Linked DNA regions of Caenorhabditis elegans. The protein of the gene in region 2 interacts with the protein of the main gene of each other region in a pairwise test. Each region holds a gene or a part of one and is shown on either strand. Other genes may lie near its edges.

Region 1 (4,216 bases), on a different chromosome or scaffold from region 2:
AAAATTTCGTAAATCGGCACAAATCGTCTCTTCCGCGCGTCCCGCCCCATTGGGTCCCGGATGTCTGTCACTCTCTAACTATCTACACTCTCTGTACCGGTAATAGGACACTTTGCAAACATGCATACAAACACGCCAATGACCCTTTTCTAATTAAAAACGCAAAACCACTTTTCAAGAGTCGACCGATCGGAAAAGGTGGCGATCGACAACACACTCCTCACAACATGATGACGAAAACCTTGAAAAGGAATAGAAAAAAACAAGGACGAATGGTGAGCGGCTCGTTTAGGTTGAATGCATTTGAAAAATATGAAAACGAGAGTCGATATGGGAATTCTCAATAAAACATTTGAAAGTCCGAATAGGAGAGGTTCACAAACCAAATGAGGGGAGAAACGAACCGTCTGTTGGTTTTTTTTGTTTCGAACACACAGTTGTGTTTGTCCTTTGCATTAGCTGGTATGACGAGAACTTTGAACTTTGGCGTTGAATAATTGCTACTGCAACACGTATTGTACTGGTGTATTTTAATCGCACAATTACTCTGAAACATTTTTTATTCTTAGAAAACAAATAAATAGAAATCGAAGTACAAAAAATTGGGATTTTCAGGAATGTGCAAGCTTTTTCAGTTCTTTCGCTTTTTTGTTGCAGGTCTCTCAAAAACTGGTCTGGATCCTCCGGCTCTTTTCGTGGAGAATTGAGAATTCAACTGATTCGTTGATGCCCAAACACCTTGATGATCTGTTGTATCTTCTTCTGTCAAGTGCGTATACTTGGTTCGAGATGCTTTTCCAAAGTTTTTGACCTGAAATAAATAATTTAGTTCAATTATCACTATAATAAGTTACGAGTATTTACCTGCATAACTTTCGGCAGAATAGTTTTATCAAATTGATCATCGTTGGTAGCTTCGGCAAAGTTTCTCTTGAGTACTTCATCTTCTTCATCCAAGAAGAAAGCTCCACGATGGAAATATTTTTGAAGGAACTTGTATTTTCCTTTGTCCTGTTTGTTAGTGATAACCTTTGGATTTAAACGAAGATATTTGAGTCGTTCTTCCTCGGACATTGCGTGAATCTTGTCAAGTTCTGCCTTCTCGCGTGCGGCTTCTTCACGTTCGTCACGGTTTCTCTGCAAAAAAAAATTGGATATCGGATATTATAGTGAGAATTTTTTTGAGAAATTTCTATGTCAATTTATTAAAAAACTCAAAAAAAAAACTTCGAAGATCTACATTCAAAATTTTGCAGCAAAAATTTACCTTCAATCGTTTCATTTCTCTGAGCTTCCACGCCTCATATGCCATATTTTCAGTTTCATCGTCGGTTAGAACAGATGACAAATCAACACGATCTTCTGTTTTTCTTTTCTCAGCAGCTTCTTCCTCTTGAAGAACCTTTTCAACTAATTTTGCACTTTCTCTCTTCCGTTCTTCAGCTCTTTTTTCGTCTTCGATCTTTTTCAGAATTTCTTTTTCTTTCTCCTTCTCGGCTTCTTGCAAAGTGATACGATCCTTCTTTCTTGTGAAAATAGGCTTCAATCTTGGAACTGGATCGTCATCTTCATCTGAATCTTCCTCTTCACTACTTTCTTCTTCTTCCTCCTCTTCAACATCATCTTCTTCAAGTTCTTCTTTAATTTCTCGTTTTATTTCTTCCTCTCTTTTAATAGCTCTATCTCTGAGCATTTGACGTCTTCTTTCAAAATCTTCTTCATCTGATTCAGCACTGTCTTCTTGTTCTTCATCTTTTTCTCTGTTATTTTCATGTAATTCCAATCTTCTCATTCTGGCTCTTTCTCTTCTCTCTTCTTGTTTCTCTTCGTCTTCTTCAGATTCCTGTTCATTTTCAGATGATTCGTCCTCTACTTTTCCAAGAACTTCTGGCTTCTCCACCTGTCGTCGTCTACCATAATCTTCGTGTCTTCTGTGGCGTCTTCTATCTTCTTCATCACTACTTTCACGACGTCTACGTCTTCTTCGATCATCATCTCGATCTGTCTCTCGGTCTGATTCACTGCTGTCACTGTCGTAGTTACGAGCATATTCTGGTCTGAAAATCAATGTTTTAAAGACTAATTCAACCATTAAACGAAAAAAAACTTACGCCTTTCCAGCCACATATCTTGAAACTTTCACTTTCTGCATAACAGTTTGTCCTTTCTCATTTTTGATTGGAATGGCTCCAAGAGTCGGAAGACGCGAATGTCCGAAACTTCGATTATCGCTTTCGCGTTGTTCAAATCCAGGTACATAATCTCCCATTCTGAAAGTTATTTTTAAAATTAACCCTTTTTAATTTCGGCAAAAAATAGTCAGAAACAATAAAGAGTAAATATGTAAAATTTTTAATTGAATTTTTCGAAAAAAATAATAAGCATTAAATTGCTCGTAAGTTATAATGCATAAAGAGTACCTCACGTGGTGTATGCAGACCCAACAGCACATCTTACGACAGTCTCGTTTACGAAAATATTTTCAAATATCAATTTTGGCCAAATTTTCTTGCTAAACGCTCATTTTTTTCTTTTTTTTTTACTCAAAACGTTTTTCAGAATGTTCCGTAAACCAAAGGCAAAAGGTGCTATTCGCCAACGGAAATCTGACGGATGGGATGAACCTGATGCTGAAAACCAACAAGTAGTCTCGGCTATCGAAGTGAGTTTTAATGAATTTCAACATTCTTTTTAATTTAATTTTTATTTAAAGGTCAAACAACCTGCTGTGCCTCGTCCAGCCATGAGTTTCGATGCTGATGAAGGAGCTGATTCGACGTTCAAACTTAAGAAAGACAAGAAAAAAGTTGAAGAATTGAAACGTCAACACAAACTAGAGGAGGAAGCTGAAAAATTATATAAGGAAGAGAAAATTCGTAAGGAAGCGCTTGATAAAATTGTGAAAAAGGAGAAACTCTCAAAAGAAGACAAAAAGACGAAAAATGAGCGGCATAAATACCTTGACAAATATCGTGACAAATCTGCTAAGCACATTTCGAATTCGGAGAGCTACGAATACGAAGAAAATTTGGATATTGATGCAGAAGCAATTTCATCAGTTTCCAATAAATTCAATTCTGCTTTTGAAGGTATTCCCGACTCTCGTGCCGTTTTCGAAGCAAAAAAACGCCGAGAACGAGCCAGAAGAGAGGGAAATCAAGACGGATATATTCCTTTGGATGACACACAAAAACTTAAATCTAAAAGTGAACGAAATCGATTGATTCGAGAAGATGAGAATGATGATTCGGATGAAGAGTGTACAAATAAATTCTATTCGGCTCGTGAGCTACTTCGAACAGAAGAAGATCGTCGTAGAGAAGAACAAGAAGGATTTTTAGAACGAGAAAATGGAGATATTGATGAAGCTGAACGAATAAAAGGTGATGATGATAGTGAAAATGAGGAATGGGAAAAACAACAAATTCGGAAAGCTGTTAGTCGGAGAGAGGTGAGCTTTTTGTGGTAATAGAGATCGTGAATCTGAAAATTTAAAAATTATAGATAGGCCAACTGCGAACAGAAAAACGAAATACTTCTAAATTATTTGGGCATACAGTTCCTGTTGAAGATGACACAGCAATGGATATGGATATTGATCTTGATATGGATGTTCAAGTAATTGGAAAACCGGAATTTACTGGTATATTATTTTGTTTGAAGACAAATAATTTTAATTAATTTCAGGACCATCAAATACCGGAGGAGTTGTAAAAATTGAAGATATTCTTGCTAAATTAAAATTGCGGATTCAAGAACGAGATGAAGCATTGAATTTCAGAAAAGAAGAAAAACGAAAATTGGAGCAAAATATTGAAGAAAACAAATCAATGATTGCAAAGGTAACAAGTATTTCAATAATTATATATATATATCATTTTTTAATAATTTCAGATTGAAATGGAGCTTCCTAACCAAAGTACCAAATACACAATGTATCAAGAATTACGAGTGTATTCCCGTAGTCTTTTAGAATGTCTGAATGAAAAAGTTGGCGAAATTAATTCGATTATCGATAAGAAAAGAGATTGTGGGAAATCCAGGACTTCAAGACTCTCGGTACGTAGAAGACAAGACATGAGGGATCAACATGCAGAATGTATGCAGGGAAGAAATGCAAGAATGGGTGAGGCCGCTGGAAGAGCAGCAGAACGTGACGCCAGAAGGTACGTATTTTTTTGAAATAGTTTAATTGACAGGTCTGTGGGAAATCTGT
Region 2 (3,166 bases):
AACGAGACACTTACCTTTTTAATTTTACCATACGCTTCGAATTCTCGTCTCAACTTGCTTTCAGACGTTTCATAGTTCTGAAAATATAAACTAAAACACATTCTAACATTTAAAAAAACGTGCAATTCGTCCAACGAATAGAGTGCGATATGGATCCTCCGAAGCTCTTGGATTCTCAGCTGGATTCCACGTGGCGATTCCTTGTTCTACTTTATATGCTAACAATTCATCTTTTTGTCGTCTTTTTTCTTCTTTTGCTTCAGCTTTTGTTACTACTGGGATTTTTGCTGGAGTATCTTTCGGATCCTGAAAAAAAAATAGCTTCCAAAATAATAAAGTTACGTTCAAACCTCAAATAATTGAATATATTGAGCAACTCCAGTCATCGGAGCCCTTTTAGCATTTTTGTCCACTAGTAGGTCCTGGCATGGTGGAAGATATTGCACTGGTGGTCGTGCTTCGAAAAGCGCCAGAAGATTGGGAGGTAGAAATGCCGTCATGTCACCTGAAAATAATTTTTATTTATTATTTGAGTTTTGTAGGTACAAAGATTATCGAATAGAAGAGAGAAAATAGTATGGAATGGGAAGATGAAGAACAAAACAAAAGAAGAAAAAAAGTTGAAAAAATGTCTGAAAAAGAAAATAAAAAAGCGATCCTCGGTTTCAGATAGCTGTTCCACGTTCCAAATCGTCTTTGATATCTTCTGTGTACTTTCCATAGTACTTGTCCAGTTTCTTATTGAATTTCTTGTTTTTCTCATTGATGTAATCAATTGGCGCGTCAGGATCATAAAGTCTACGACGATGATATTGTTCTCGTCTTTTAACTTGGCCGTGAACATCTTTAGTGAGCTTATCCATTGCAGCAGTTGTCGGATAGTGATTTCCTGAAAACTCTTTGGTTTTTCTTTGAAATTATGAGTTTTGCTCCTTACCATGAATAAGTGTGTCAGCAGTTGGGTAAAACTGTTCCCCTCCAACGCATTCTCTCATCTTTTTGTAAGAATCAAGATCTGGATCAAGAGCAGCAGTCAGGCGAGTATGTTGACGAAGAGTCATATCTTCGTAAGAAGTAAATCCTTGATCTGGGTTCTTCTTTCTCTTTCTTTTTTGCTCAAGCTTCTCAGTAACATCTGCAGACATCTCTAAACTGCGAACACGTTCATAGTCCAATCCCTTGTCTTCTGCAGCTTTTCGATCTTGTAGCTCTTTAACCTGCCATTGATCTCTTTCCTTTTTTGCTTCGTGGTTTTTTGGAAGTTTGCTGCGACGATCTTCTTCAACGACCTACAATTTTAAATTATAATTGAAAATGTAAACGTTAAAACACTAACCTGTTCGTGATTCTCTTTTCTCGCTCTTTGGCGGAGTTTGTGAAGATCACGGAACCTCTGATTGAAATCCTTCATTTTTGATCCACTGGACGACGGCCCACTGCTGCTCGATTGTGATTCGGAAGACATCTAGGAAAAAGTGTTGAAGAGAAATCCAGAAAGTTGAGAAGAAAAGCTACATTGAAACGGAATACAGAATATTTTGAACATCAGAAAAAGAAGAACCGATATGATTTGAATTCATTTACAATCTATATTTTTTAAACCGATAGTTACATGTTCAAAACATATTAATACTATCCAGCTTTGCGAAACAAAGAAGGCTTTCTTAGAAATAAGCATGGTACTATCGATAAGGAGTTCAAAAATGGAAATAAAAACTTTATTTTCTAGTTGAAAATGCTGAGAATCGAGTCAAAATTGCGAAAATTAATCTGGGCGAGTAGTTCAACACAGCGCACTTGCACAATTTTCTTTTCTCTCCGCTGCGTAGCGGTCGCGTCGCGGTCGTCTAGTCTTGCGCTCGTCACACCGAACGCGTCAATATGTGACGTTTCGGGCCTTTTCTGCTCACTCTGGCGGTAATTTAAACATATTAAAAATATATTTTAATTCAAAAATATTTATAATAGACCATTTAAAAGTACTCAACATTATTCCAATTGTTCGTTCTTGTTGTTTTGGGCACTTTGAGTTTTTTCTTAAAATTTTAATTTAAATTTCAGCTGATGATGTTAATGAACAGTACTGAGATAGTTGACGACAACATGGTAGTCGAAGGATATGAGGAAATTGCAGTGGATGACGATATGAATGATATGAGAGTGAGTGTGCTTGAATCATTAATTTTCTTTATTCAAATTTAAGGAAATGGTTGCAAATGATGAAGATGACAGTATTCACTATGAAGCCCATGATGGAAGCGAATATGGTGGAATGCCAATTGACCAATATCAAGATATTGTTATGTTCAAAACGTAAAAAAAATTTTTCCTGAGTAATATAAATTTAAAGCATTATTCCAGAACGGACCAAGTTCCTGCAAGTGTCTCCTCTCGTCTTGATCGTAGTGCGCCGAGTCATTGGAGAGCTCGTTGTAAATGTTTTTCAATGGCGGACGATAGGGAAACTCTTTTGTATTACAATCCCGAGAAGTCTGCGAATACTATTCCAAAAGTAGTAGTGAAGAAAGGAGAAGTTCAAAAAGTCCTTGAGAGAATTCACGAACTTATTGGTCATCTTGGGCAGAAAAGAACGTAAGTAAAACTACTATAATAATAGCTGACAATTGTTACTTATAGGCAGATGGTCGTGCTTCGGAAACTCTACTGGCGGTCGGTTCGACAAGATGTTAAAACATTTATTGCCTCTTGTGATTTTTGTACAGCAAAGAAAATACAAGGCAGAAAAATAACAAAAGCACCTGTGGATATTACCTCTGAGCATTTTGATATTTCCGTGCTTGTTAGAGATTCTTCCAGCGGAAATGATCGATTTGAGTTTCAATTGGTGGGATACAATGAGGATGAAGTTCGCGAAGCATCATTTACAAGGATGACATCATATACATTCAAAGAAACTGAGCATGCATTCAGAAGCAGATACAGTAACCATCAGCAGACTGGGGTACGTTAAGAATCTGAGATTCTCTACAACTCTAAGCAAAAATCGTTTTAAATTTACTTTAATTATTGCCAAATTCACAATATTTGCATTTTCAAATTTTTAAAAAATATTTTGCAGCCGCCAACGTTCCGTCGACAACCATATGTGAAGAAACACAAAAATCAATCAGTTGGATATCTTCTTCCATTTCACCAAAGATCTCGT

The links. Proteins that work in one complex are often made in the same cells at the same time.
Region 1: the proteins of syf-2 (region 2) and mfap-1 interact in a two-hybrid assay, tested with the Caenorhabditis elegans proteins (one study listed by BioGRID).

Annotation. Positions count from the first base shown.
Region 1 is NC_003279.8:8,637,967-8,642,182, forward strand, and holds mfap-1 (Microfibrillar-associated protein 1), read right to left. Parts: upstream 2,271-4,216; 5' UTR 2,270-2,270; coding exon 2,112-2,269; intron 2,058-2,111; coding exon 1,268-2,057; intron 1,138-1,267; coding exon 865-1,137; intron 812-864; coding exon 632-811; 3' UTR 548-631; downstream 1-547. Other genes in the region: mog-7 (GCF C-terminal domain-containing protein), read left to right, coding at 2,561-2,662, 2,714-3,451, 3,505-3,643, 3,688-3,842, 3,895-4,166. UniProt on the Caenorhabditis elegans protein: Involved in pre-mRNA splicing.
Region 2 is NC_003281.10:7,160,651-7,163,816, forward strand, and holds syf-2 (Pre-mRNA-splicing factor syf-2), read right to left. Parts: upstream 1,466-3,166; coding exon 1,337-1,465; intron 1,290-1,336; coding exon 938-1,289; intron 890-937; coding exon 666-889; 3' UTR 510-665; downstream 1-509. Other genes in the region: rnp-7 (U1 small nuclear ribonucleoprotein 70 kDa), read right to left, coding at 15-77, 124-306, 351-500; K04G7.1 (Integrase zinc-binding domain-containing protein), read left to right, coding at 2,104-2,160, 2,204-2,313, 2,362-2,592, 2,638-2,962, 3,080-3,166.